Linked DNA regions of Saccharomyces cerevisiae S288C. Changing the gene in region 1 together with any one later gene gives a genetic interaction. Each region holds a gene or a part of one and is shown in the gene's direction. Other genes may lie near its edges. The genes, in order: MUP3, OPT1 and FAU1.

Region 1 (10,457 bases):
TTTCAACTTGAACTTGACCATTCCAACAAAGAAGAAATGATGGAAGTAAAAAAGACTAAGGAATCAAGCTTGGTGAAGCTACCTCGTCATTTAATTAACGAACTTCTGCATGATCACCCAAACTGAGCTAGATAACTGCTTACAATGGGCTCAAAATAATGGAGCCTTCATCGATCCGAAAATCTCTTTTAGGATTACAGAGGATGCTGGTGTTAGTGCATTTGTAAACGAAAAATTCTCTCCCAAACCCGACCAAGCTTTGATTAGGGTACCCGAAACTCTGCTGATCACTTCCCAGCAAGCTTTATCAGAATTTTCCCAGGCTGCTAATGAAAGGAGTCTTTTGAATTCCGTGACACAGTTGTACTTGTCAAAGTTGAAATTTGGCACCGATGCAGTTCACCTGAAATCCTTTTACAAACCATATTTAGATGTGCTACCCTTGCACCTTCCACAACCATATTTTTGGTCTACTGATGAAGTCATGAATTTGCATGGTACAGACGTGTACTTAACTATGAGAGATACGCTGAACAAACTAGTAAAGGAGTGGAGGATGCTGTTCCAAGCTTTATCTATTGAACACTCTTCTCAAGATAAGCAGTTCTTGTCTTTATTCCAGGAGAATAAAGACTCTGCCGTAGTGCCGTTGGAACAGTTCTGCGCACACATCAATGGATGTAAACTAGAAGATTCGGAATGGAACTCGTTCGTGGCGTATCTTTGGTCGTACTGCATCTTTAATTCTAGGGCATTTCCTCGTGTCATTTTAGGCAGGGCCGGTACAGACCGCACCAATCTGAACGAAGGATTTTTGTATCCAATAGTAGATTTATTAAACCATAAAAACGATGTACCAGTAAGATGGGAGATGAATGAACAAAATGAACTTTGTTTCATGTCGCAGACTACCACATTTAGTGCACAGGATGAATTGTTTAATAATTATGGTAATATTTCTAATGAAAAATGTTTGTTAAACTACGGGTTTTGGGATTCCTCGAATAAGTTTGACTTCTCTAGGTTGACTTTAAAGCTACCATCCACCTTAGTTAGCGGTTTGCCCGTGGATTTTAACAAATCAGGTAATTTTGTTACTGACGATGGAGAAACTACCATTTTACAATTTAGTTTAAAAATTTCTGAACCATTACCACCGGTTCTACTAGCGTTATTTGCCTACCTAAGTAAATTAAAGTCTGAAGAAACTCCAACCGTAAGGAGCGTATTGGAAGGTATTGATCAATTAACATCTGTAGTATCCCAGAGATTGCTGTTTTATAAGAATTTTAAAATTAAAACTTCTTCGACTCAAAAATTACGCCCTCATGTTATTAAACTAATCAAACTATACTATCAAGATAACAAAAAAATTCTGAACGCCACTACTGAGAAATTGTCCGTTTTACAAAAAAAAATATATAGCAATAATAAGGAGTTTTCTCTGTCATTCAAGACAATTTTTAAAAACGACAAAATATTTGCCAATTCTCTCTTACTGGTATTTGGTGCTATAAATTACGAAGATTTGATCACAAAAGACTGTCTTAATGACGCATTGTTGCTCTGGATAGTCAAATTAATCAACGATAAAAGTAATAATCAGGGAGGTTTCATTAAACAAACCTTCAAAGAAGTTAGTGATTCAATTGTCATTGAAAAAGAAGATGTTATGGAGTTTTTGCCGTTCTATAAAAAATACTTCCCTAATTTATCGGAGAGAATTCCAGAAATTTATAGTGTCGGTGATTGGGGCATAAGACAGTTCATTGTGGCAGATACTGCGATTGATAGATTGGTTTGGATCAGGAAATCAAATAAAGAGCCTATATTTCTAATGAAGAAGGCATACGACTTACAGATTTAGCTTTGATCTGTAGCCTAAGTATAAAATTCTACGTATGTATATATTTACATGCAATTTTTTCTTTTTCCAATTCATGTTAATGTTCTTCATCATTTGATAATAGGCCAATGATATTATCTACTATCTTCTCCTTTTGAGGAGAAGCTGCTTTCACTTCCTCGTTGCTTTTCTCTTCGTATAAATACATGAATTTCGACTTGTCCAGCATTTTTTTATCAATACAATGCATGTGCCCATGAAGTTCTACCTCCGACAAATCTTTAACAAAATATGTCGTTATTTGTGTCATGAATTTCAGTAGGGTTTGAAATATTTCGGGTATGGCGTTCTTCTTATCCAGAATAACAATTTTGTAGTTTGCTGATAATGTTATTGGACGAAGCTGGATGGGCCTATTTACGCGGAACTTTTCGCCATATATTTCCTGTTCGAAGTATAAAAGTTGGTTGGCCAATTTCTTTAATCCGTTTGCAGATTGTAGCGATTGTTCATTCGCAAAACCAGGTTCTATTGTTGCATTTATTGACTCAGTGAAACCCACCAACTCCATTAAAGTTGGTCTTAAATCATCTTGCATAAACTTGTACAAGTTTGGCTGGAAAATTCTAATCATTTTCGATTTTGTCAGCACGGTTTGCAAAATTAATGTGATGTGTTCAAATCTTGATAAAGTCGTTTCATCATTTTGGAAAATAGAGAATTGGTTCCATTTCATTTCTGAAATTACCAGTGCGGAATATGTTTGTAGGTCATGAAGAAAAGAGTCGTATTTTGTCTTGTAGTTGATCAGAGAAGCTTGGTCCGTGGGTATTTTCATGGACTCGGTCTCTTGATATTGCTTCCATATATATGAGTCCCAAACATTCCAACTAAATTGAAAGGAAGGCGCATTATCGTTACCAGAGAAGGAACGGATGCTTTTCTTGTTACGTTGTAAAATGGTGAATATATTGTAGAGAATGAAATTTTTGCAAAATTCAGCCCTCAATTGCCGGATGGAGAAGTCGTTTGATAATATTGTAGCTCTTAAAATGTCTCCAGGGCACGTTCTGTCTTTGTTTGATTGTTTGCTCCACAATGTCTTATGGCTAACCGATCTTTCTAAAAGTTGCTTCAAAGTGACGACATTACCACCAGCGATTCGAGTTGTGGCACTGTTTGCATCCAGATAGAATGGTTTACCCTCTTCGTTCGCCAGTATCCGACCAGCGTTAGCCTTCTCAATGCGCTTTCGTTCATTCAAGGTGCAAAGTGGCGAAGCTATCTTGGTCTTCAATTTGTCTACCTCAGTAACGAAAAATTCTCTATGTTTATCTACAAAGTAAGGGAAAATACCAATTCCATCGAATTCCCCAATCATCGCCTCATCGGAAACCTGGAAAAGAGGCAAGGGCTTTGCATTAGCTGGGTTTACAAACATGGGTACCTCACCATTATTTTGTTCCAAGAGTCTATCGTAAGTGCTCTTCTTAACCCCGATTCCCCGACAAAAGTTTGAAAATATCGACTTAGGCCAAATTACACGCTGCAGTTTCAACTTATCATCTTTGCATCGTACCCTTATTAATTGTTGCCACTCGAAAGATGGCTTGAAGTCCTCATCCATTTCGCTGAACAACTTCTCGTAGAGACTTAAGGGGTGGTCAAACATAGGCGCAATCCGTTCCCAGTGTTGGATCCTCTTCTTCGAGGATTTTTGAGTTAGATCTGTTCTAACAATCTTGAATGCGTGTTCGCGAGGGGCGTTTATATCACGTAATAGCAGTTTTTGCAAGTCCGTGAGTGAAATATTATACAGTACTCCTTCAAGATCACAATATTCATAAGATAAGTTTGTCTTCTTAAACGCTTGCTTACAGCGAGGGAACACCTGATGTGTGATATTCTCCATGTTGAACTTATACCTGTAACGAGAGGAACTGCCCTGTCTCCTCAATGAGACCATGAACAATGTTTGCCAATTCACCATTTTGGTCACTCTGTCTCAAACCTTTCCTTCAGCGCAGCCTTACTCCTTCAAGAGAAGCCTTCATTGTCCATTCACTTAAGCATAATTTGTCATCTTCAATGCAATTGAACTTTCACTAAATACACCCATACACACCAATCTTGGATTCTACTCGGCGGCAATCTTCACTCTTTCCTTTGTTTTATCATTTTCTATTCCACCTTTAGTTCCCCAACTTCACCTCTTATCGAACTATCAACACATTTGACTATCATTTTGGCAAATTCACTCACGTGAGGGCGTGTGCTAACCATGCAAGGGTTATGGCATGCGCATCCATGTGGCGTTTCCTACTTTTATTTTTACATAATATATAAGATAATTGCACATGCAAACAGTCAATCTTTTTCCTGCAATTGATGTGGAGACCAAAAGGTTTGCATCTCCTAGTACCACGATTTTTTGGTGCAAAAGTGTTGATAATGTAATTCAGGTAGAAAAGGTAGAAGTTTCCTCTAGTATGTTCACAGATTGGATTAGAAAAAAAGATCACGCGACTCTTGCCGGAAAAAACTGTGGCGTCGCTGCATATATATGACAAATCAATCATATAGATTAGAGGCCTGCCTGAGTCAAGGGGCAAAAACAATACACATATAAAGACCTGGATGCTTATCGATGATCTGTACATTCTGTTTGTAGTCTAAGTTGCTGAGGGCAACGTAGACGTACAGTGCTCAAAATAAGTAAAAATGGAACCGCTGCTTTTTAATAGTGGGAAAGCAAATCCCTCTCAAGATGTTTTCATAGATGTGGAAGTTGGTGATATTACCACAAAATATGGTTCCACAAATACTGGATCATTCAGTTCGATGGATACTGTGGAAGCGCAGGCGATAAAGGCAGAGACGGCAAGATTCATGGAAGTTCCACAGGGAAGACATTTAGGTGTGTTCTCCACGGTTGTGTTATTTGTTTCGAGGATAATGGGGTCAGGTATATTTGCAGTACCCAGTGTGATTTTACTGAATACAGGTGGTAATAAGCTGATATATTTTGCGATCTGGGTTTTTAGCGCTGCGATCGCTTTTGCAGGATTGTATCTTTTTCTAGAATTTGGTTCCTGGATACCGAAATCAGGTGGACGTAAAAACTTCCTCGAACGGAGTTTTGAAAGACCCAGACTATTAATTAGTGTGGTGTTTTCGTGTTACAGTGTTTTAACTGGCTATGCATTGACGGGATCTATCGTCTTCGGTAAATACGTGTTGAGCGCATTTGGAGTCACGGATGATTCGTGGTCCAAGTACGTCAGCATATCATTTATAATATTTGCCGTTCTCATTCACGGTGTCTCTGTAAGGCACGGAGTGTTTATACAGAACGCACTTGGTGGTTTGAAGTTGATCATGATTGTCTTGATGTGCTTTGCCGGGCTATACACGCTTTTCTTTTATAAAAGCACCGGTCAAGTTGCCTGGGACCTCCCAGTAACCCAAGTTGAGAAAGATTCTCTCCTGTCGGTGTCCTCTATTGCTACTGCCTTTATCAGCTCATTCTTTTGTTTTTCTGGATGGGATACAGTTCACACAGTTACATCAGAAATTAAGAATCCCGTTAAGACGTTGAAGGTGTCAGGTCCCTTATCGTTGATAATTTGTTTTGTCTGCTACACAATGATGAATGTGGCATACTTGAAAGTTTTGACATATGAGGAAATTGTTAGTGCAGGCCCCCTGGTTGGTTCCGTGTTGTTTACCAAACTTTTCGGACCCAGAGTTGGTGGCAAATTCATTGCTTTTTCTATCGCCATTTCTGCAGCATCTAATATTCTGGTTGTCATTTACAGTATATCAAGAGTTAACCAGGAAATATTCAAAGAAGGTTATTTACCATTCAGTATTCATATGTCCAAAAATTGGCCATTTGATGCACCTCTACCATCTATTTCTTTATGTGGCTTTATAACCATTGCTTGGATATTGATTTTACCCAAAGAGGGCGAATCCTTCAATTATCTGGTATCGATGGATGGTTATGGTAATCAGTTTTTCTTATTATTGGTCGCTATTGGGCTCTTTATTTGGAGGTTCAAACACAAGAACGAAGTCCCAGAGATTCGTGCATCTACTTTTGGAGTATTAGCCATTATTACATTATCATTATACATGTTGATGGCACCATTCTTTGCCGACCCTAGCCTAAACAGAGTTGGGTTCCTGCCGCCCTACCAAATCATGTCATTACTGGTAATAGTTGCATGCTTCTTTTTCTGGTTAGTTAAATTCGTTTTACTACCTAAATTCTTCCATTATAAACTTTTACCCAAAATCACTTATTTGCATGATGGGCTCATTGTCACAGAATGGGTGAAAAAGCCATGTCTGTGTTAGTTTTTCCTTTTCTACATAAATATTTTATAGACTACTATTGCATTTTTAATAAATAATATTCATCCTCATCTTTGAATAAAAGAAAGAAACATTCGATTATTTCATCATCTTACTTGATTGCTTGGCTATTTGCTTCAAAAGCTCTAGGCCCCCACTGTCACGACACATACTATAAAATATACCGCGTTCATCTTTCAACAGTTCACTAGGGCGATCATATTCTTTTACCTCACCGGCATCCATCACAATTATCCTGTCGTAATCGATAACAGATCTCAAACGATGTGCAATAGTAAGAATTGTGCTTTTATTAAACTCACTTCTTATAATACCCTGAATTAAATGGTCAGAATCGTAATCAATAGAGGAAGTAGCCTCGTCCAAAAGTATTATCTTTGGCTCGCGTAACAATGATCGTGCAATAAAAAGCAATTGCCTTTCACCTTGGGACAGATTTAAGCCGCCCTCAGCTATTTCTGTGTGAAGATTTAAAAATTTATTATGAGTGCTGTTAAAGCGTTCCTCCGAGTTAAGCACTTCTTCAAATTCATGTGAAGAAATTAGATTTACTTGTGAAAGTGCTTTGAATATTTTTTTTTCATCATATTCATCATATGGATCAACATTACTTTTGATTGTACCTGCAAATAGAATAGGGTCCTGAGGGATGATAGTAATGGAACGACGTAATGTAACGAGATCAATTTTACTTATATCCTGCCCATCTATTTTGATACATCCGGTTATTGGTTCTAGTAATCTGAATAATGCCGTTATTATGGTAGATTTGCCTGCGCCAGTTCTTCCGACAATCCCAATCTTACTTTGAGGATCCACTTTGAAACTAACATTTCTTATGACAGGAGGCAAATTTGGCGCGTAACGTAAAGATAAGTTTTCAATTTCAATTTCTCCATCTTTTGGCCACGATGGTTCGTTTAGAAGTAGAATGCGGCCTTCATCATGGCCAAGATAGTTCTCTTGTTCAATGCTAGAATATTCTTTTAGTCTTTCAACAGAGTTCATGTTCATTTCAAATGTTGAGTACAGTCTAACTAACCATAAAGCACCATCTGTAAACAAAATGGCATATGTCAAAGAAATGCCGGCAAGACCCGAGTCAATATTTGCAATATTGAGCAGAATAAAAGAACCTGATGCTAAAACAATGAATGCGCCAATCATGTCGACTCTAAAAGAAAACCATTTGACAGTAACTGATAAATAAAAGAATGCTCTGTTATTTTGGTCAATTTTGTTCATATTTTCTAAAATGAATCTCCTCTCGTCGCCAAATGCACGAATTGTGCAAACGCCTACCAAGGTCTCTGAGAAATGTTGAAAAATGGGTGATTTGGTTATTGAATCTAACCTTTTCAATTCTCTACTTGCCGTTAAGTACCATTTCCCCACAAAGAAATATAAAACAAAAACGATAACGGCGACTGTCAAAAAGCGAGGAGTTATTACGGTAATGAGAAATATAATTGATGCGCATTGAATTAGGCAAAATATAGTTACTTCTAAGTATGGAATCAATTCTTGATCAACACCTTCGATGTCCTTTGAAAAGCGATTCATGATTCTACCAACCGGCGTCACGTCGAAAAATCGTATTTGGGCATGTAGAACTAGATCTAGCAGATTATTAAAGATCTTTCTGGAGGCTCGCATACCGGATAAAAACGTCATCATTGTTTTAAAACCACCTAGCATTGCCTGAATGATACCAATAAGAAAATATACGGTTAAGTAATAAAATGCATTATGTTTATTTTTCGAAGAGTCGGTCATCCCTTTTAATGGCAGCGTGTCCATCGCAAAACCTGGAGCATTTATTCGTACATTGGTATCGTTGACCCAATGTCGTATCCACCAAGACTGACTGATGAACAAAATTTGAGCTGTGATATAAAGAGCGAACAGGGCTGTTAAAGCTTTGAAGCCTCCAAAAAATTTCAGGTACCATTTATAAACATCGGGGCTTATGGCACCGTTTGATTTTTCTTCCTCTTCTATTAGCTGGCCATCATTGACAAAATTTGCATCAAAATTTATGTTCTCGGTGACAGGTTCGATTTTCTGAGAGTCATTTTTTCTGGGAGCTTTTAATCTATTAGCGTTCTTTTCATTAATGCTATCTCGAGAAGAAAGTTGAACATATTTTTCCTTAAAAAGCCCTTTGCTTTGTAATTCTGTAATAGTTCCTTGATTCTTCACTTTGCCATTTTCCAACACAATCGCGAAATGGGCATTTCTAAGTGTTAATGAAACATTGTGCGTAACTAAAATGCAGGTTCTATTTTTCATTAGTGGACCTGTGATGCAATTTTCATAGATCCATACAGCAGTATGTGAATCGACAGCGCTCAAACAATCATCTAGTAAGACATGCTTAGCACTCGAATAAACAGCTCTCGCCAAGGAAATTCTCTGTTTCTGCCCTCCTGATAAAGTTATACCCTTTTCACCAATTTCTGTTAGGTCACCTGCTGGTAAAATCTCCAGGTCTCTTTTCAGCCCACATGCATCAATTACTTTGTTGTACCTATCCTCGTTATAGAAGTTATCAAAGATAATATTGTTTTTTACCGTGTCATTTAATAGCCACGCACTTTGTGAACAATATGCGAAGGAATTGGTTAAACCTTCGCAGTCGGGAATTAAATCATGCTTTGGTTCTAAGCTCGGAACAATGATAGAGCCACTAATTAGATTTAGTTCACCCAGTAAACCCAGCAGCAATGCACTTTTACCAGATCCTGTAGAACCCAAAATCAAATTTAACTTACCAATTTGAAATTTAATATTCAAACCACATAATTTGAATGCATTCATATCGCTGTCATTTTCATTCCAGGTTAAAGTCGCATTTTTAAATTCAATTTTATTTTTGTCTGGAGATATGGTTAGTTGATTATATTTTTCTGTATCGTCCATCCTTAAAAAATCGCTTATTCTTTTTAGAGAGACTTTTGATTGATTTATGAAACTTAGCATATTTGATAATTGATCCAGGGGTGTCTTTAACAAAGTGAAGAGTGACAAAGTAGTGAAAGCAAGCGGGGCATTCAAATCTTCATGTTGAACAAATGTACAGATGGCGAAAGTGACACCTGTCACCAAGGTCGGTGTCACGAACCAAAGAAAAGAAGTTACGGACCACACCAAAGATTTTTTTAATAAGGATCTTAATTCCTTTTGCCTTATTGATTTGATTTCATTTATAATATTCCTTTCCCAAGCAAAATATTTGACAATTCTTATGTTCTGTAAGCACTCGTTCAATTTTGAGATTCTTTGGTCAGTACATTTCAGTGTTTGCTTTTGAAACTTACCTAACAAATTCGCTAACAAGAAATTCAATGGGAACATCACTAAGATAATTGAAATTCCTGCAAAAGCTGAAACACCTAAAAAGTTGAAAAGTAGTCCTACAACAACTATTATCATAATTACTGCCTGAACTGTCACATAAAGGTAGTTTGCTAGTTCCGATACCTTAAATGAGTCAATAGAAATGAGATTAATTATGGTACCAAGGTTTGCGGAGATACTATCTGAATCAGAGCTGGTTTTTGGAGATGTAAACAGCCTCCTACGTAAGCCTTTTGCATAAATTTCTCCTATGAGTATGGCTCTTATTCTTAAACAAATCTTATCAGAAACAAATTGACCTTGGGAATTACAAATTGCTAATGTCAATCTACAAATGAACATACCAATAATATAAAGCCACGCCAAATTCATGCATGATGAGGAACGGTTTGGGTTATCCACAATTTCTAAAAATCTTTTCATTAAAATTGTGGGAAGAAGGTTTACAATACTGTTCACCAGAACCCATAACATTCCTATGAGTAAATATGTTTTGAAAGATTCAAACAGTGCTAGCGTCAAATTATTAATGTGCTTGTTTCTCCTGGTAAACCCTTTTAGAATGAAAATGCTATAGTCTTCCATTGATAAGCCCCAAATATCCTTTAACTTAATAGTGTTCTTTTGGGCCTCCCATATAAAATTGGTAATCCAGCTCCAAGTAATGCAACTTAAAATTGAGGATATGTGTTCCCTCGAAGGAGACGTATGGTCGTCTCTAACGTAGATGATGGATGAGTTGTCTTTAATCGGTGAAGTGAGCTTTATTGGCTGTAAGGTTGAAGTAATTACGAATTCAAAGATGTAAAATATCTGTGAGGGTACATCATCGATATTACCAATATAGACCGAACGAATTGGAATCCAGGTT
Region 2 (11,609 bases), on another chromosome or scaffold:
GAATCTGAGGACGAAAAAAATATTGTGTTACTAGAAATATTCTACGGGTCAATAAAAGATGTTATTTATCATAAGCTGGATTCAAAGAATAAAGTTGCAACCATTTTGATCTTGCTGTCTAATGGATACTCTAAGCTAAGTTTTCAGGAACTGAATCAGTGCGCAAATATTCTCTCGGAGGCATTGAATAATCCTGCTACGCAGCCAATTGCTCTACAAGGCTTCAAGAGAATAATATCTAATATTTTCAAATACCCGTTGTTGCAGTATTTTATGAAGTTGGTTATAAAAAGATTCTTTCAAGATATTCAAACAAACGATTCCTTATCGCAGGCAAGCATTAAAACTAAGTTGATAATTCAGTTTTCCGAGGAAGTAATCAAACAAGATCACCAAAAGGCATCATTGTCAATTGCTTTATGTCTTTCTTTCTTTGCCGCATATCATAGCGCATATACAGAGAAAATAGACAACGAAGTAGCAAGTGGCATAGTTGCTTTGGCTAAATTGGACAAAAATTCATTTAAAGAAGCCATTTCTAGCACTATAAGTCCTCAACAAAAAGCAATTATAGGTTCCGTGATGGAGGCATACGTTAAATCGCAGTCTTTGGGCTCTGTCGAAGAGGCCTTTCAACTGAAATCTTTCGACTAATTGCAAGTCGGATGCATATGCACGGAAATAAAACTCATCGCGAAAAAAGAAAAAAAAAATAAAATCTGTGAAAAAATATCAATGGTGCAATTGGTTATTGGTCACTCATCAAGTAATTTGTTAGTTTTTATAGAGTTACAATTGTATAAAGATAAGAACATTTAGTTAAGTTCCCCACTTATTAGATCCCAAAGTTAAAGTTATCATGTGCAGTAGGATACTCTTGTCCGGTTTAGTCGGACTGGGTGCTGGTACTGGCTTAACCTATCTTCTTTTGAACAAACATTCTCCAACGCAAATCATTGAGACACCTTATCCACCTACCCAGAAACCTAATAGTAATATTCAATCTCACTCTTTCAACGTCGATCCTTCCGGGTTCTTCAAGTATGGTTTTCCTGGTCCGATTCATGATCTGCAGAACCGCGAAGAGTTTATCTCATGTTACAACAGACAAACTCAAAATCCTTATTGGGTCCTCGAACATATAACGCCAGAATCATTGGCTGCAAGGAATGCTGACAGAAAAAATTCCTTTTTCAAGGAAGATGAAGTAATTCCAGAAAAGTTTAGAGGTAAACTAAGAGACTATTTTAGGTCGGGCTATGATCGAGGCCATCAAGCCCCAGCTGCAGACGCAAAATTTTCTCAACAGGCCATGGATGATACATTCTACTTATCCAATATGTGTCCTCAAGTAGGAGAAGGTTTTAATAGAGACTATTGGGCGCATTTGGAGTACTTTTGTAGGGGATTGACTAAGAAATATAAGAGTGTAAGAATCGTGACTGGTCCATTGTATCTACCCAAAAAGGATCCCATAGATAATAAATTTAGGGTTAATTATGAAGTTATTGGCAATCCACCCAGTATTGCTGTTCCAACGCACTTTTTTAAATTGATTGTTGCAGAAGCACCAACAGCCAATCCTGCTAGAGAGGATATTGCTGTCGCGGCATTTGTATTGCCAAACGAACCGATATCAAATGAGACGAAATTGACTGACTTTGAAGTTCCTATAGATGCTTTAGAGAGAAGTACTGGGCTAGAACTTCTGCAAAAAGTACCACCTTCAAAGAAGAAGGCATTATGCAAAGAGGTAAATTGTCAAATTGTAGTGAGAGATTTCTCTAACGCGGCGATCAAACAATCGAAAGATGTGAAATTGTTACCTCCTCCAAAAAAAAGGAATTGAATGTACTGAAAAACTGTAAATATAAATTAATTCATAACACAACGATAGAATAGCATGAAAGAATATAACAAGTCTAACGCATATAACATAAAATAATACATTTATTTGATGATCAAAAAAAGAAAAGAATTAGGATGCAATGCTTGGATTTAGTATATATTTACAGAAATTTGTTTTGTTATTATTTGCTTTGTTATTTATATCGTAAATGTGCGTTTGGCCGTTCATCTTAAGTAACGTTTGACAGCCGACACACCATGCTTTTTAATATCTTGTATGATCTCCTTGTTTGTTTTGAACTCTGAATTTCTAATTTGATGTTTTAAGATGAAATTCCAGTCTAACTTCAATTCCTCAATCGTCATACCGTTCTGGTATAGTTCTGCGCACGCCCAAAGAAAAATGTCTGTTCTTCCTATCTGCAGTGCGCTTAATGCAATATTCCTTAAAATAGTAAACCTGTTTTGATTATTCACTTTTAATTTGACATCACATGGGGAGGATGCAATGAATGGGTTACAGTTCGATTTTGTCCAGTATGTTTTACTTCTCTTTGCAGCATTTATATAAAGTAGTTTTGCCAAATCGATATCCTTCTTGGCATTGGCAACAAATTTACCATCTCGCTTTTTATAATGACAAAGTTTTTTAATGTATAAAGCGGAAACCACATTCCAAAGAGAGTTTCTGTGGTCAGGATCAAAATCATGTGCCTTCGTCAACAAATCGTTTACAAGTGCCATCAAATTATCGGTGAACTTGACCTTTGAAGCCAATTTCCAATCAACTACTTCGTTAATTATTGACCCATAGGCTAACATTGCTTGTCCGGGGGGTATAGTATCGAGTAATTTGACTGCCTTAGCGATATGATCGAGGTTTTGTGTTTTGAAAAGGTGAATAATTATTGCTTGATAATTTTCTTGCGAAAGCGCCCTGAAATTTGTTGTTATTTGCTTCAAAACCCTATCTACACCGTTAGAATCGTTAAATTTCAAATGCATTCTTAGCAATGAAGAAAGACATCTCTTGTTAAGCCAGACAATATGATGGTTTTCGGGTAAAGTGTATCTGTTAATGTTCTGCATGAGTTCCTTGGCCATTGTTAAAGAGTCTTGCTTTGTAATGAAGTCAATAATTGCCGGTAATATCAAAGGGTTATTACAATAGTACTCTGGAGTTAATTGCCAAAACATTTCGCTACATATAGATCTATAGGCTCTATTATGGGTACAAATCTTGAAGACTTTATAAATGATTCTGGAATCATGTGCAGAAATGGAAACATAGTGCTCTTTGATTTTGTTCCAAATAGAATACACACTTGCAACATTTCCTCTTCTATAATTTTCATCAATGGACTTGTACGCAAGCAGCACTTGATCATCCCGAAGCTTCAAATCGTTAGTCAAAGAATAGTTTATATTCATCAGTTTGTTCAGTATAGCCTTGCATAATTGCGGGGCTTCATTACTTAAGCCGAGGGCCTTATTAGAAAGAGTTTCTAATTGAAACCTCGTTAACTTTATTCCGCCTCCGGTTATACTTTCGAACAGAGAGTTCAGTTGTAAATATTTGACTAGATGAACATGATCATGCAGTGGGTTTGGGTACGCTAATACTGATATTATTTTCTTAGCATATTGTTCGTCTAGCTTTTTATCATCTGTAAATAATCTGTAGTACAGCAGGAAAAGGTCGGCAGCCATAACTATGTCTCCTGTGCCGATGGCATCATCAACACACCAGCGCATAGTATCCAATTGCGTAGTCAAGGGCTTTTGATGTCTTACGGATGAAACTTGGGAGACCACTTGATTGACTAGATCCAAGTTTTTCTTGCATTGGTACAAACATTCTCTTCTATAAATTCCTCTTGTAGTCATAGATGAGGTTTTTGTGCGATTGATGAAACTGATGAAATCTTCGATCTTGACCTCGTGTAATATAGAGCTTTCCAGTAAGCTATTTTCTTGTTTCCGAAGACTTTTGTAGTCCGCCATGTCAGACCAATATTTCCGTATTTTCAACTTGTCATTGTCATTTAAATTCGCATTTGCTTTGATAAGGGCCAAGACCTGTTTTTGAATTGGATCCCTGCTGCTGTGGTTGATTCGTCGCAAGGTCCTGGTAGGTACCATTTTTATAAACCTCTCGGTCCTGTACCGAACGAGACGAGGTAAAAACATTGCATGGAAAGGGAAACGTGCAAAATGCAAACTACTGCTATCCTAAAGTGCTCACTGTTTATTATTACTGGATTTCAGACGTCGCTTCCCACATCGTCCCGTACAGCGTTCCATGATGATATTATACCACTTCTTTATTGTTTCTTTTTTTTCTTGAGCAGAAAGTGAAAAAAAAAAAACCAGACCCTTTACCACGTGACCGATTTTGACAACATGAATATGAATATAGTATACACATATATAGAGATACAAGCGAGGGAACGGGGCCCTTTAGTACACTGGTGAGGCGGTCAGTCTCCCAGAGGATCCACAGGCATCGCACATAGACCACTCCAACGCCTTTACAACGCACACGTAACAGTAGTTCGCACGACAACAAGCGATCTGGTATGGGTTGGTTGGAAAACCGCCGCAACGGGGGCAAACTGTCTTATAAGTAGTCGTAGAACGAGACCTTGGTGGTTTTTTAACAAAGGTCAAGAGTCCTCTTTTCGTAAGTAGTGTATTGGAAAAGAGTTCTAATAGTGCATTCCATAGCAATTGTCTATTCTGGTATTCTAACCCAGCGAATACAGAGTTCGAATAAAATTCAGAGGCAATTGCAGAACCATCCCGAATCAACCTTGTGGAATGGACATTAAAAGCCCGGTATAACGGCGACAAAAACGCCCTCGCATTGGGCCCTTCCGCTGCTAGAAACCTCAGGAAGTTGGTTACATCACAGCCGTGATACAATAAATTAACCCATTTGTACAGCTTCAGCCACATCATCTGGTTCCCACAGTGCGGCCCATTAAAAATAATATGTGTGATCTTCTTCCACACGTACCCTGCCAAGACAGTGACGACATACAAGGTGCGTTTCCTGCACTGAAAAACCACGCCACTGAGTGCGGATCCATACGTACAGCTAGAGCCATAGTGTGGCAGGAACCTCGTCGCGCACATAAACACAACTGTGTTCAGTGCCAACTCCCATTCCTCTTTGTGTTCACTCGTATTGAATGCTGCATTGAACTCGGACCAAAACTGTCCATACAATTCTTTATCAAGCGCTATCGAGTCGAGCTGTGCAACTCGAGACATGCTGCGTTGCCTTTAGATTACGTCTTCTCAGTTATCTCGGCAATCTCTCCTCGTTATGCTTTCCCTCCGTCTTCACTCATCCCTTATAATGCGTTTCCCAGCAACCTTATCGATAGAATGGAGGGGAAATCGCATCCGTTCCACTCCTCGGATCGATACTAACTTCCGAGACGTTGCATCAAAGGCCAAGACATGGCATTAGTCACCCTTGTTGCAACGATAGACGCATACTACGGACCCCTCAAACCTCCCTACCTGCCCGTCGCTATCGCATTAATTTTCTTTTTTTCCACTATTTTTCCGGCCCGCCACACCTCCGACTACAAGACGCCACATCTACGTTTTGTCACACAAAATCCAGGACAATAGCCGTCTGCAAGGCACCAAGGTTTTCAGCAGTTGCTTGTTGCTGCTGCCTGTTAATCACATCAAACCCACTGCAAGGGCAGTCGATGGGTCTGTAAACGCCTTAGCAATCGTTGTTGAAGAAAGAGAGCTCTTATCATCATGGGGTGCCCATCATTTTTCTTTTTTTTTCAAATTTTGGGCTATTCAATGAATTGTTTCGACTATATATGGACAATCATCGGAAGCTGTGTATTCTTGGTAAAAAGTTTTCGACTGTGTGGCAGAAAATAACCGCAACAATTATATAACGTCACAGAACACATGAGTACCATTTATAGGGAGAGCGACTCGTTGGAGTCGGAGCCCTCGCCAACGCCAACAACCATTCCTATCCAGATCAATATGGAAGAGGAAAAGAAAGATGCTTTCGTTAAGAATATTGACGAGGACGTCAATAATCTCACTGCGACTACTGATGAGGAGGACCGCGATCCGGAAAGCCAAAAATTCGACAGGCATTCCATACAGGAGGAAGGTCTCGTTTGGAAGGGCGACCCTACATACTTGCCCAATTCTCCATATCCTGAAGTGAGATCGGCGGTGTCCATCGAGGATGACCCCACCATCCGCCTCAACCACTGGAGAACGTGGTTCTTGACCACGGTGTTTGTGGTAGTTTTCGCCGGTGTTAATCAATTTTTTTCCCTGAGATATCCATCGCTAGAGATCAACTTCCTTGTTGCACAAGTTGTTTGCTACCCAATTGGTAGGATACTGGCTCTCTTGCCCGACTGGAAGTGTTCTAAAGTGCCATTTTTCGATTTAAACCCGGGCCCATTTACCAAAAAGGAACACGCCGTGGTCACAATTGCCGTGGCGCTTACTTCCTCTACTGCATACGCTATGTACATTTTGAACGCCCAGGGAAGCTTTTACAACATGAAACTTAATGTCGGATATCAGTTCTTGTTGGTTTGGACATCTCAAATGATTGGTTATGGTGCTGCAGGTCTTACCAGAAGATGGGTCGTCAACCCTGCAAGCTCTATCTGGCCTCAGACTTTAATTTCAGTGTCCTTGTTTGATTCGTTGCACTCGAGAAAAGTTGAAAAGACAGTCGCAAATGGTTGGACGATGCCCCGTTACAGGTTCTTCTTAATCGTCCTTATCGGATCGTTCATCTGGTATTGGGTACCTGGATTCCTCTTTACCGGTCTGTCCTATTTCAACGTTATCCTATGGGGGTCGAAGACAAGACACAATTTCATCGCTAACACAATCTTTGGTACTCAAAGTGGTCTCGGTGCGTTGCCAATTACATTTGACTACACCCAGGTTTCCCAAGCCATGTCCGGCTCTGTTTTCGCCACACCATTCTACGTCTCCGCCAACACCTATGCATCAGTGTTGATATTCTTCGTCATAGTGCTGCCATGTCTTTATTTTACGAATACCTGGTATGCCAAATACATGCCCGTCATTTCAGGTTCTACTTATGACAACACTCAAAACAAATACAACGTAACAAAGATTCTTAACGAGGATTATTCCATTAATCTTGAGAAATATAAGGAATACTCACCGGTATTCGTTCCATTTTCCTATCTTTTGTCGTATGCTTTAAATTTTGCCGCTGTTATCGCCGTTTTTGTCCACTGCATCTTATACCACGGTAAAGATATTGTCGCCAAGTTTAAAGACCGTAAAAATGGTGGCACTGACATTCACATGAGAATCTACTCCAAGAACTATAAGGATTGTCCCGATTGGTGGTATTTACTTTTGCAGATTGTCATGATCGGTTTAGGATTTGTAGCAGTGTGCTGTTTCGATACTAAGTTCCCAGCTTGGGCATTTGTTATTGCAATATTAATTTCCCTTGTAAATTTCATCCCGCAAGGTATCTTGGAAGCAATGACTAACCAACACGTAGGTTTGAATATTATCACAGAATTGATCTGCGGTTATATGCTGCCTTTAAGACCAATGGCAAACTTATTATTCAAGCTATACGGATTTATTGTCATGAGACAAGGCTTGAATTTGAGTAGAGATTTGAAATTAGCCATGTACATGAAGGTTTCCCCTCGTTTGATCTTTGCCGTTCAAATCTATGCCACTATCATATCAGGCATGGTTAACGTTGGTGTCCAGGAATGGATGATGCATAATATCGATGGCTTATGTACCACCGATCAACCAAATGGCTTCACTTGTGCTAATGGTCGCACGGTTTTCAATGCTTCCATTATCTGGTCTTTGCCAAAGTATCTTTTCTCATCAGGGCGCATTTATAATCCGCTGATGTGGTTCTTCTTGATTGGTTTGCTATTCCCACTAGCCGTTTATGCTGTTCAATGGAAATTCCCTAAATTTAAATTTGCTAAGCACATTCATACTCCTGTATTTTTCACAGGCCCAGGTAATATTCCACCAAGCACACCTTATAACTACTCATTATTTTTTGCAATGTCATTCTGCCTAAACTTGATAAGAAAAAGATGGAGAGCTTGGTTCAATAAGTACAATTTCGTCATGGGGGCCGGTGTTGAAGCAGGTGTGGCAATCTCCGTCGTCATCATCTTCTTGTGTGTACAGTACCCAGGTGGTAAGCTCAGCTGGTGGGGAAACAACGTTTGGAAAAGAACGTATGATAATGATTATAAAAAATTTTATACCTTAAAGAAAGGTGAGACATTTGGTTATGATAAATGGTGGTAATCATGAAAACATAATAATAAACCTGCAGAGGTTCATATCAAGTTTTAATTCAAAATTTGGCACACGTAATAGCAAACTTTAGTTCATATTCTGTAATATTAAGAAATTATTTTCTTTTCTGTCATCCTTTCATATTGCTTAACTTGAAATACTTTATCTCAACGTTTAATTATACTGTTAATAATGATATTTCTATATTTTAGAGCACATTTTGGTCGAAACATTCAAAGCGACCCCTGCAATATTTAGCGGAGGCATCTCATCCGCCTTATTTTTGTAAATTAACGATCTTTAGCGCATGCCAAGTGTTCGATAACAAATTCCGACTTTAAGAAAAAACGGGCACGAGCATACAATAAAAAAACTTTTAAAATTTATACCTCCTTGAGGTGTTCTATTTTATGATAGATCCGTATTTCAGATACCAAATGTTATATACACTTTTTTAAGCTTGGATTTTTTTCTGAATACACGGACCTTACAAATGCTATAAAAAAAAAAAAGATTCTGTAACTTGTAAAATTAAGGGCCCTAAAGGGCCATATCCACCTCACATTTCACTGTGATATAAGTAGGATATTTTGACTTCAATACTTAAATTTACAAGCCAAATATTTTATTATGACTTCAAAAAAAAAAAGGCTTCTAGCATTCAGAAATAATGCTGACTGTGAAAACAACTATAACTACATCAATATATCCTTCCCTCTTTCATGACAAATAGTATGTTGCTCTCGGGTTCATCCAAAATCGTTATATCGTCCAACGGATTTGATTTCATCATCAGTAGGTCAGCAATGAACCCTGGCTTAATCTGTCCCAATTTATCGCCTAATCCGTTCATTTCGGCAGGAGTAACAGTTGCTGAGAGCAAAATCTCTTGTGTCGTTTGAACTTTCCCTCTAATACGAAACTCTTGCGTTTGATAACCATATAGAGGACCCAATAAATCTGAACCAAAACAAATTTTAACTTTTTTTTTCTGGGCAATTTTCATTGCATCAATTCCTTTGTAAAGCACCTCTGTATTTTTTCTACTATTTTCAGGTCCCAAGAATGCACTAAATTGATCAGAACCCATCACTTTGTAGGTAACTAGTGTTGGAGTCAAGTAGCAACCCAATTCTGCCATAAGCTCTGCGGTACGTTCATCTAATAAGTTTCCGTGTTCGATACCCTTAACACCTAACTTGATACAATTTTGTATCGCTTCCGCAGTGTAGGCGTGTGCTGTTACGTATGTGTGGTAACTATTTGCGACATCTACAAGTGCTTTTATTTCGTCGTCGCAAAATTGTTTGTTTGATATTTTGTCAGTTGGAGAGGCCACACCTCCACCACCCATAATCTTAATAAAGTCTGCACCTCTTCTAAACTCTTCTCTGGCCGCTTTGTAGCATTCGGGAACACCATCTGCTACAACACCAACTTGACCAAAGTGGCATGAACAGCTGTCAAAGGCACTAGCAGGTAGGGCACCAGATCTCAGATCGCCATGACCACCAGTTTGGGAAATGGCATGTCCACACGTAATTAATCTGGGACCATTCAAGGATCCCTGACGAATCTCTGCTTTCAGAAAGCCTTCTGCACCCCCACAGTCTCTCACTGTTGTGAAACCTCTTGCCAGAGCGGCTTCCAAAGTGTATCTTATTCTGAGTAATGCAACTGACTTTGGCATCAGCATTAACTTGGTCAGATCAGCCTCTCCTGCAACCGACGCAATGTGGACATGACTGTCGATCAGACCTGGAGTGACATACTTACCGGTGCCGTCAATAATTTCAAAGGCAACTTCATCAACGGTTACCGGCTTTTCAGAACCAAATTCGACCTTGGAAATGACACCCTGTTCTATGAAGATGTAAGCTCCGAGGAGACTGACACCGCTTACCACATCTATCAAATTAGTGTTACTTATACAGTAATTTTTGAGTGGCTCTGGGCGCTATGGTGCCACCAAGTCGGCCAGGGACTTGTTCATTCCTTCATTGACATCGATTTGATAAGTCGTCATTTTTATCTCGGTTAATATACTGTTTCGATGTCCCGTCAATTGGAAAGAAAAGCTACGCTACATACCAGCAAATATGTTGCTTTTATATTCGCTCATATCGGAGATCAATTACCGACATACTCTTCTCTATTCAACAAGTTCTCCGTTCTCCGTCAAGTTACGTCGTTTACGAACGATAAGAGGCTGATCAAATAGGAAGGAGATATTGTCGGATCATTTTTTAGTATGGAGATAATGCGTCATGCCGACATGAAGGCACCATCATCTGTGAAGTGTGTCAAGAAAAAACTGGCGAAGTTAAAGCTAGATAATCCGAATAAGAGGGATAGTAGAAAGGAGGTGAAGTAAAAAAATTATCACCATTTTTTCTCTATTAGTAATGAATTCTTCAAGGACTTTCAAAAGTAAACGTCACAAAAATTTTTATTTCTCAAGAATCTTGTTTATCGAAGGGTCTTTATTGAGAAATGTTAGAAAATTGGTAACTTTTTAAGATCAGAGTTAACAGGCAGAAAAAAAACAGGGTCTTTTTGTTCAGGAACCCTTTTTGGCTGAAAAAAAGAGCGCACAGAACAACGCGAAAAAGAAAAGGAGGAAATCGCGTATCCTTATGGCGTCGCAAAATTGCAATTAGTTAGCTATGTAATCTGTTTGGAAAGCTTCCTCAAAATTAATAATGGCGAAAGCAATATAACATCACTATTACATCAGGAATAGCTGTTGCCATACGATAAGGGGGTAATGAACAGATTGCTCATTAATGTCTATATTATGCATAATACGATTTTAATGTTCGGAATCTGTAGATGGTGCTAACATTTTACATGAACCAGCGAATAACCAGACTGGACTCGTTTGACCAAAAAAATTTCTGTTGGTAGTCTGTGTAGGTTTTCACAAAGAATAGTATAAATTGATACGCAACGAAATTAGTGGTAAAAATTTTTGTTTACTTTACGGCTTACACGGGGCCGTGGCTGATACTGGGAATACCATATCGTTTCGTTCCAGTGCCGATAAAGTGGCTGAAAAAAATTTACATATTTTTCTTGAGAGAGGTCTTTAACTGGTCTCACAGAGACGGTTAATCAAATGCTCGGAAACAGGATAAATGAGGACATCTGCACAATCGGGTGTTACCGCCTTATCTTGTTAGCAGTGGCTATAATCACTCCAGAATATGCCGTCGTGTTGGTGGCATAAAAAATTCTTTTTTTGCCATATAAGAATATCCAAGTTTAGGAATGACGCAAATTCGACACCAGGAATAATTAACGAGTTAATTCTCCCGACCCTCAAAATTTGAATAACAGTGCCCTCTTCTATCTGTTCACCACGGCACACAAACGGTTTGGAAAGATGTTGCTTTGGGTGTGAAAACTTTATTTATCACTGCTTT
Region 3 (9,471 bases), on another chromosome or scaffold:
TGCTAAGTGCAGCATAGCAAAATTGAAGGCACAGTTACCTCCAAGCGCACCGGCCTCTTTACAGAAAGGCCTAGCAAACATTTGCACTGAGCTTGAAAAAATACAACCTCAGCTTTACCTCAATCTGGACAGTAAGGAAATTAGCTCGTATGGTGGCCTGAAATCGATAGAAACAGAAATTATCGGGAAACAGTCAAAATCTTTGAATAGGTTCTCCAACGCTTTTGAAAGCAATACTGCACAAAATGTCAGTATGTACTTTGGGGTCTATTCACCGTTGCTATATTTTGCCTCTACGGGTATTAGCTGGATAACTAAAAAATTGATTTCATGTTCGAATGATAGGGAGACGAGAGAAACTATCTATTTATTTTTGAAGTTTCTTGACGCTAGCTCTGCTAGCCATGCTGGTCCTAAAGTAACTTCGATATCTCCTTTAGAGTATTATTCAAAGCTAAACGGACTTTCATGTGGGAACGACGTACTTATTCAACACATTATGTCAAATATATCGAATGAAATCAAAGGAAATACAAACATTAACCAAACAATCAAATTCAATAAACCAACAGACTGGTTTATGTACGGAGTACAATTGATGGAACAGCACCACAAGGCGTTGGATCGTAAAAGTTCCAAAAAATTACTTCCTTTGAAATATTTTCTTGAGCAAGATGAGTTGATTTTTTGTCTCTGTCTTGAATATTTTGAAAGATCCCTATTTTCGACAATGTACGACTTGACTATTTTAAAGGGCTTAGTCTCGTTGATGAAACACAGATATTGGATAGACGATCCTTTTGTGCTGGGAAGAATTATTTCCACGATGTCCAGGCGAAGTTTGGATGCTGGTTTGAATCGTTGGGAATATTATATTGGTCAGGATGAGGACACTGCCGAAGAATATCGTAAGTTATGGTGGGACTGCTACTGGTGGGATAGATGGTATTCATTGGTCACCGGTAAGCAGCCATTGATACCACATGAAATGACTTCGTGTCTCTTTCCCAAGGATGTGGTTGGATTAGGGGTAGATGATTCGATGGACTGTTTTACTTTAATAAACTTGGTGGAGCTCGACCCAAGTAAGTTTGATATTTGTATCTCTTTCGGCTATATTCTATTAACGAAAATTATTACAGCGGTATTCTCTGGTTTGCTTTATAATCGACACTTTACAGACTACAGATTATTTGCAACTCCTAACGCTAAAGACCTAAATGGAACCGCACGACAGCTTATGGTAGAGTTTTCAAAAATATGTAAAATTTTTCAGTGCATACAAGACAAACTAATCCCTTTCCTCAAACAATATTCTGAAAATAGTAATGTATTTGAACTATACACCCATTTCGGATTTGCAAAGGTTTGTTGTTTTCAGGGAATGGAGAGTTTAATTTTAAGGATACAAAATCTTCTACAAGAAAGAGAGAGAATTGAACTTGATTCCTGCGTAAAGGACATCAGGCTTCAAACCTTTGAAGCATCTGTAGATATTTTGACGGATGTTCTCAAGCACGAAGATACGTTCTATATTTTCCGTTGTTCGTGGTTCATATATGCCATCTTGATGAATATTACCTTGAATTTTATCGAGACCCCTAGAAGGAACTCGATATGTTATTTATCCTTGATGTGCCGCATGATAGCCTCATATAATGACTTATTTGTGAGCTCTGGCAATGTTAATTTCAAGGGCAACAACGCCTTCTCTAAAAAGTTGGAAAATGGAACAGCGGTTTCTTTCATCCTAACACGCATCTGCTGTCAGATGTACACACGTTCACAGAAAATGGCTAAGGAATCGCTGTTTTGTGAATTGAAAAAATATGGCCAGGCTTGCTCAGATGCTGGTCAAGCTGCGTTGGACATTGAATGTATCTGGTACAGGAATATTATAGGCGAACACAAAGAATCAAGCTTCCGTAAAGAAATTCTCAGCATTCTTGATAGGGAAATGGGTGATTTGGTGAATAATAGAGTTATTGGCGTACAGGGAAAAAATCAAGAAGGTGCTTGTTATGAGAAGTTGTCACCCAGCAGCACCAGTGTTTCAGTTGGCATGGACTTTTGTAGCCTCGAAAATTTTGTGACTGCAGAATCTCTACCAGACCTTCTCAATCTATTTTGGGAGGACACTGAATTTGGTATTACTAAAGAAAACCTCGGAGAGTAAAAACCAAGTATGCACCTAAACAATTGATCACTTTCAATTAGGAAATAAAATCCCTTGATTTAGACGAATACTGTAGAATGCAATAAAAGGTTTTGTGATTCTAATCTAGTCCCTTACGTTATGCACCGCTTTCAGGAAGGTTATGGGCTGTACCATGAAATCAAAGGTGGCTCATAACTAGTAAGTAAAAGTAAATGTCCTTTTTTTATGCAAGATCTAGAACGATTCGAGTATGGTGTTGATACCACTGTGGTAAGTCTTTCAAGCTACACGCAATTACACACACTCACAAATCTAGTTGTATTTACTCCTTTTATTGTTGCTAGTCTAATTATTCGTCCCACGATTTTATCGTTCTTTGAGTATTTCGGGTCTCAAAAGATTGCTAAATGAAATAACTCTTAAAAATTGCTTCACATAGTCTTGTTGTTACATTCACAATTCACAGCTTTCCGTTGCTCATCGCTTGATAGGAATATATTATGATAGGGATTATCCTGAAAGTTTCAGCAAAACGATAATTACTTCAGCTTTTCTTCGTCTATTTAACCTAGTTTTCCGTCATAAATCCGTTCTCTTAAAAGCACACCTACTCCACTTTCTGAAATAACATAGATATTGAATTTGACTTAGATTCATATATTAGAAAAATCGAATAGTTTCCTGTGCCTAGAAATTCTAAGGTGCCATTCCAGAGGATTTTTATGACAAAGATGAGATGTAAGAATCAACTTTTTTTAATATTTTATATCTTTCATCAAAGAAACATCACAATGTATATTACAAAGTGGAGAAGCATCCAAAATATAGCTGCAGTGAGAATTCATTGAACTGTATCAACTGGGTGGAAAATGTCACAGTCACTTATGGAATTCTATGATTTTATTCAATAGAAAACATTTAGTAAAGCTGGTAACCGACCTTTTTTTTTTACACATTTTTTTTTTTTTTGCTGATTATACCTTGCATTCTAACACCGGGTTCTGATGTTATCACCTACTTTGTATCTCGCATCATTCTTTATTTGGTAGACACGTCCCAAAATGGAGGATGCGCACTAACGAAAATGAAGGATAATGCAGTGAGAATGATAATTTTGATATTGATAGGATCAATTGAAAGCATATCACATGTTTTTTGTGAAATGTTGTATAAGAGATAGCGCTCTTGTTGGGTTTCGATAGGGGGAATGTGGAGTATCTGATGTAACACTGTAGTCTTATTTCTTGTCATAAAGAGGGACTGATTGGGGTGAGGCATATTATATTATAGGAAAAATTGCAGAATATCTAGGTAGTAGTCGCTTCAATAAATTTTTTTCCGACACAAGAATAATGAGACAAATCGGACTATATTTGACGATTAAATAAACCCAAAGCACCCCTATGCTATATGGGGGAACTTTAGAGTAAACAAGGTTGAAATACGTCAATTTGTAATTTCATAAAATACGTGAGGTCTTTTTGTGAGAGATACTTGCCCATTTAGATTTTTGTCCATATCGTGATAATTTTTTTGAGTTTTAATTAATGTGCTCCACCATCACAGAGTGTGTACCAGTGCAACCCACTCAGGGATATGCTTTAAGTCATATATTCTCGCTCTATGGGAACCATAAGCTGGACACATTTCTTGAGGTTATTTAGTAGCGAAAAATGGCGCAATGTTACTCTTTCACTTCTATTATATGGGGCTACAATGCCAATAAGGATTAATGGGTAGCGATTGTGGTTTCTTACCTTTGTGTAGTTGCGTAGGCTTTTTAGTGTATCAGTGAGCAAATTTAGTCCAAAAAGATCGCCAGCGAAGACTGTCGTATCTGGATCATTCGTAGTATCGATAGCTTAGCGATATTCTCGAGGATGTAAAGACAGCAGATTGGAGTTCTGATAATTTTTCATTACTTTTCAGTGAGAGAGTGCCTTTCTCGTTTTATATCTCAATCCTACCCGTAGAACTGGTCTGCTATTCTCATTTATCATTTTATTTCAAAAAAACCTTCAGGAGACAAACTGATTCCATCAAAGGCCTGTTTGCTATCTAGGACAATATTCGAGCTTAGTAAGTCACTTCCTGAAAACCATTCTGCTTGCGAGCCCGAAGCTTTGTGGCAATCAGTCTTCCACATCTGTTTGCAAGGGTGTTTTATTTCATGTCGTGAGAGATTTGTGATTAAAGCTGTTTTTATTAATCAGTTAGCAGCTTCATTCTCTTGAAGGATATATATAATTTTCTCAGATTTCTTCCGAATAATATTTAATCATTGAAATGGCAAAAATAAAAATTACTGTCAGCTACGCTATCTTTATATAGCTACAAAAAATTAATGGCCACTAAGCAATTACTGAGACGTCAAATCAAAAGGGTAATAAATGCTCTTGACTACGATATTATCGCTGCAGAGTCGCATACTATTTCTCAAGCAGTACGCTCATTGATCGCTTCCGCCAATTCTAGGCGTGTAGCGTGTTATATGAGCATGGATAAAGGAGAAGTAACGACTGGAGAAATCATTAAGAATTTATTTCAAGATGGCCAGGAGGTCTTTCTGCCAAGATGTACTCATACTTCTGAATCGAAACACTTCAAATTACGGGAAGATCATCATCCACATTTAATATTCCATCGAATGAGTAGTTTGAAAATGGTTCGTGATTTGAAGCCTCAAGGTCCATATCAACTAAAAGAGCCTGAACCGCATATTGAGGAATCAGATATTCTAGATGTCGTATTGGTGCCTGGAGTGGCGTTTGATATTAAAACTGGTGCAAGGATGGGTCACGGTGCTGGGTATTATGACGATTTTTTCCAACGGTATAAGATACTGCATGAAGGCCAAAAGCCCCTCCTAGTTGGACTATGTCTTATGGAACAGGTGGCCTCTCCAATTCCTTTAGAAAAACATGATTATTCCATGGATTGTATAGTATGCGGAGATGGATCCATACATTGGTTTCAATAATTTCATATATGTATTATTTACATGGTACAGCTATTGTATAAATAAATAAATAAATAAATAAGTAGACGGCAAATCTATTTTTCTTCTTTTGGATTCCCTTGTTCGCTAGAAAACGTGGCATTAGCTTTGACCAATGTCCTGTTGCCACTTTGGTCCATAAGTTCAGCCTTTAATTTAGTTTTGTTACCGTATTGCTGAAGATCGGTGGTTCTTACTACAACAAATTGATTAGCTAACGTGGGGAACTTGTACGAGATACTCAAATTCTTGGTTTCTTGGTTTATATTTTTTGTTCCTTTTTCGAGTCTAATGGCCTCCTTCATTAAATCTTCAATAACTGTTGCTAAAATGCCTCCGTGAATTAAGAAAGGATAACCAGTAAGTTTCATTCCTAAATGGTATAGCCCGACAGTTTCACGCCTACTGGGGTTGTAGTAAACTCTTGGTGGTATAGCGACGCCACCTGGTGTATTTAATGCCCTTGACACTAACAAGTTCTCCTCTTCATTAGCAATCACTTGTACAAAACCAGCATTCTCCAACTGTTTTACTATGGGTAGGCCATTTAAACGTCTATTCAGATCAGCGTGATATTTGACGACTTCATCTGCGTTCTTGGGTAGGGCATCATATCTCCAATAAGCTAGTAAGTCCGTGAACGTCATATGCTGTGTCAAGTACCACCCTCCAAGAAAACTTCCCCCAAAAATTGTCCATGGAATCCATCTTCTTTTGGGTTTAGAGGCTGTCTTGAAAACAACGCCATTTGTATACGTTCTTATCTGGGCTATTGCGATTCTTTTAAACATCTTGGCCTTGCTGGTACGGTCTCTTTCTCTTCCTTACTTTTCTTAGTTTCTTTATAAACTCTTTGTGCACTTTGTGAGTTTGTTCCTTTTCTGCCAAGGGGTATGCCTCATCGAAAATTAATCAATCTTTAAATAAGGTATTATGTTAAATAAATGAAATGTAAAATGTGTCGCTAATGGAGTACTTAGAGACATTTTTGGAAATCAGTTTTGTGAAATATTAGAAAGAATTCCTTTTGTTTATTTGCTCAGAGTACAACATCTCAAGACTTTTATTCCTGTTGCAAACCAATGTTCACGTACGGTGACCCAAAATGATGGCAGTCATAATCAAATCTAATGGAAGTTGAAATCAAGAAACGATAATGTAATAGGATTGTAAATTACAACTTACAAAGCAAAAGAAGTAATAATAATATGCTATTTAGAATTGCCGATTCTCTTTTATTGATTCCTGTATCTTTTGAGGAGAACTTCTAGTATATGTCTAATGTCGTTTTACTAGAAATGGGACCCCTGAAAATCGTCAGCAACTTTCAACTGAATCTGAGAATGATGCTCAAGTCGTCATTTTATCTTGCAGAAGCTAAGTGCAGGAGTTGATAATACAGCAGAATTAAAAGTGACAACGCAAGAAACAAAAACAAATGCAATCTCAATATTATGTGAAATTGATGATTTCGTAGCGAATCATGCGCACTGTGGGAGAAGCCTGGGTATAATTATGTATGCTAATACTGTTACGTTTATCTGAGGTTTGTGTGAATTTTGTGATAATTATCGGGATTCCATTGTTGATAGAGGCTTCAATACTATGTATACAGAACATACTAGAACTTCTCCTCAAGGGTATAGGGATCCTCAAATTTAATCGGTATTTGCATACAATAATATTACGATTATTTTTCCTATCGTTTTATATGCTTCATTTTCCCATTACATTATCAATTCTTGCATTTCAGCTTCCATTAAACTTGCTAACTCTTTCTCAAGCTTCATTTCATCTTCCTAGATCTCATATGATACTATACCAGCAGCAAGAATGCTACTAAATGGATGATATTCTAGAGTTTCATTTCATCATCTACACGAAGGGATGGGGGCATCTGAAGTATTTGAAACGTTGCTATGATTTCATAATTTATGCAGGTTTAACACAGATTACAGGTCTCTTGGCCCAGTTGGTTAAGGCACCGTGCTAATAACGCGGGGATCAGCGGTTCGATCCCGCTAGAGACCAATTTTTTTGAAAATCGTAAAAAGGCCCAAAAGGGAGAGCACAGCACGTTCTGCTTAAAAAAATAAAAAATGATGTCTTCAATAAAACATCTTAAGGACCAGTTTGTAGATCTGCGAAGTTGTTGACTAGATAAATTATAATAGCAAACAAACAAATAGGACAATGTCAGCGGAGAACATTAGTACTGGCTCGCCGACGGGCAAGCAGCCATCCTCTGAAGTTAATCTTGGCGAAAGAGAAGCTGGAACAAAAAATGAGAGGATGATGCGCCAAACCAAACTTCTGAAGGATACATTAGACTTGTTGTGGAATAAAACCTTAGAGCAGCAAGAGGTGTGTGAGCAACTAAAGCAAGAAAATGATTATCTAGAAGATTACATTGGCAATTTGATGAGATCCAGTAATGTGTTGGAAAAATAACTTTTCAACGTAGGTTTCTGTTTTAAATAGGTAGATCAGTCAAACGGATGCGTCGCATAAATGGCTGATAAATTTTTCCACTACTCGTTTTCTCTTTTTCTGAGTTTCTATATTTTGCGCCTGTTTTACAAAGAAACCAGTATGGTTTGATCCCATGGGCGATGCCACAAAGAAGCTATAGAGAAAAAATGTTAAAATATTCGAAAAAGCTTCGAAAGATTTTATTGCGGTCACTCATGATCATAAAAAAAACCCTTCTCGCATTTGTAACATTGTATTTTAGTTTCTACTTCTTGTAGCAGGCCCTGAAGTATAGATTCTCAGACACAGTGACAAAATGGATGTCGATGAGAGGTTGCATCAAGATGAAAATCAAACCCACCCTTTTTCGCAAAAGAAGTCAAGCAGTTTCTTGATAAAGGAAAAAGCTGCTACAAAATCCAAGGATCTTGAACATATAAGGCTTCGTGACCTAAATTTCAATCATAGAAAAAAGCTAGATGACAAAAAATTGGCAAAGCAAATCCCAGTTAAGGCAAATTTCAAGAAGCCTAACGAAATTGAAGCTCGCGCTAACCTAAATTCAAATGAATTAACAGATATCAACCTTGACTATATACCGGATTCCCCATCTATAGAGAAAATATCAGGGCCTGAGGATTCTATTGTTGTAACGCCAAGAAATATCATACATTTACAATCTGATTCAGATATTATTCTCGAGGAATGCGAGCATAATTATGACTGTAGCCCTTTTTACCGTCTGTTCAACTACGAAAATAGAATTGAGCCCGATGACTACGAGGCTATTATAAACGCTATAATAACTGACGAAATTGCTGGCACATATCCGGTTTTCGAACGGGAATTAGAGTACCAAGAACTGAAAAGTCTTGTCAGAAAGCGAGATTATATTATGTATTATTTCTTGTCAAGGGATTATCGGGGGTTTTTTCAGTTGAAAGAGGAACGTACTTTATTTTATAGGTACCCTTCAATTGCGTACACTAGCCCGTTGAGGTATCTGGATAATGGATCTGAAACCGAGCAGTTTACCGGGGATGATGATGAGGAGCTCCAATCATTTGATTTTGAAAACACATCATCTGTGAGGACTTTAGATAGTAATATATGGCGTTAGGTAATGCTCAATTTTATATACGCATATGCACCATAGTAATTTAATATTTTTTTTCCGAATTACAACAATTATATTATAATATTCCTTTCTTTTGGAGCTGCTAAAACAAAGAATCATAACAAGATATTAATAATATTAGTAACACAAAGTAAAAGAAAAGTTTAATAAAGGAGCAATGTCATCTTCATTAAAAAAGTATACAAAAACTAGTCACTTGAATCGGTAATACCTTTTTCACCAATTACGTAGACACATTCTTTTTCAGGCATATCTGGGGAATCTTGTAACTTGGCAACTCTTTCGTCACCACGCCCTTTTCTCAACAAAATCCTTGTTGCTGACGCATGTGCCAGAACGTGCCCTCCAATTGGTTTCCTACCATCTGCCGAGGCAAATAATGCAGAAGCACCTGGGTCTGATTGAACTTGGTTTGTCAGAAATACTGCAACATTAAATTCCTCTGCCAATCTATTCAATTTGAAAAGATGTTGATTTAGCTTTTGCTGTCTTTCGCTTAGTTCACCTCTACCGCAGTAGTCTACTCTGAAGTTTGCCATTATAGAATCTACCACGATAAGGCGATAATCTCCAGAACTAAGTTCTTCACCCAATTGTTCAACAAGTTCCATTTGATGTTCACTATTCAAGGCTCTAGCATATGAAACGTTTGCCAAACATGACTCGGGATCCAATTCATAACCTTCTGCAATTTGCTTAATCCTC

The links.
Region 2: mutations in MUP3 (region 1) and OPT1 together harm fitness less than expected from each alone (positive genetic interaction), as found in Saccharomyces cerevisiae (one large-scale study listed by BioGRID).
Region 3: mutations in MUP3 (region 1) and FAU1 together harm fitness more than expected from each alone (negative genetic interaction), as found in Saccharomyces cerevisiae (one large-scale study listed by BioGRID).

What each region holds. Positions count from the first base shown.
Region 1 is NC_001140.6:21,674-32,130, forward strand, and holds MUP3 (Mup3p), read left to right. Parts: upstream 1-4,567; coding exon 4,568-6,208; downstream 6,209-10,457. Other genes in the region: EFM1 (protein-lysine N-methyltransferase), read left to right, coding at 110-1,867; CBP2 (Cbp2p), read right to left, coding at 1,944-3,836; YHL037C (uncharacterized protein), read right to left, coding at 4,105-4,506; putative ATP-binding cassette multidrug transporter VMR1, read right to left, coding at 6,305-10,457. UniProt on the Saccharomyces cerevisiae protein: Very low affinity permease for methionine.
Region 2 is NC_001142.9:30,434-42,042, reverse strand, and holds OPT1 (oligopeptide transporter OPT1), read left to right. Parts: upstream 1-5,793; coding exon 5,794-8,193; downstream 8,194-11,609. Other genes in the region: AP-1 complex accessory protein LAA1, read left to right, coding at 1-654; NUC1 (ribonuclease), read left to right, coding at 860-1,849; CBP1 (Cbp1p), read right to left, coding at 2,074-4,038; PEX2 (ubiquitin-protein ligase peroxin 2), read right to left, coding at 4,309-5,124; YJL213W (uncharacterized protein), read right to left, coding at 8,885-9,880. UniProt on the Saccharomyces cerevisiae protein: High affinity transporter for glutathione. Also transports tetra- and pentapeptides like the opioids leucine enkephalin (Tyr-Gly-Gly-Phe-Leu) and methionine enkephalin (Tyr-Gly-Gly_Phe-Met) across the cell membrane.
Region 3 is NC_001137.3:549,001-558,471, reverse strand, and holds FAU1 (5-formyltetrahydrofolate cyclo-ligase), read left to right. Parts: upstream 1-4,502; coding exon 4,503-5,138; downstream 5,139-9,471. Other genes in the region: TOG1 (Tog1p), read left to right, coding at 1-2,176; FMP10 (Fmp10p), read right to left, coding at 5,213-5,947; YER181C (uncharacterized protein), read left to right, coding at 6,676-6,999; SLO1 (Slo1p), read left to right, coding at 7,350-7,607; ISC10 (Isc10p), read left to right, coding at 7,945-8,748; recombinase DMC1, read right to left, coding at 8,955-9,471. UniProt on the Saccharomyces cerevisiae protein: Only enzyme known to utilize 5-formyltetrahydrofolate (folinic acid) as substrate. Contributes to tetrahydrofolate metabolism in an alternative way of folate biosynthesis.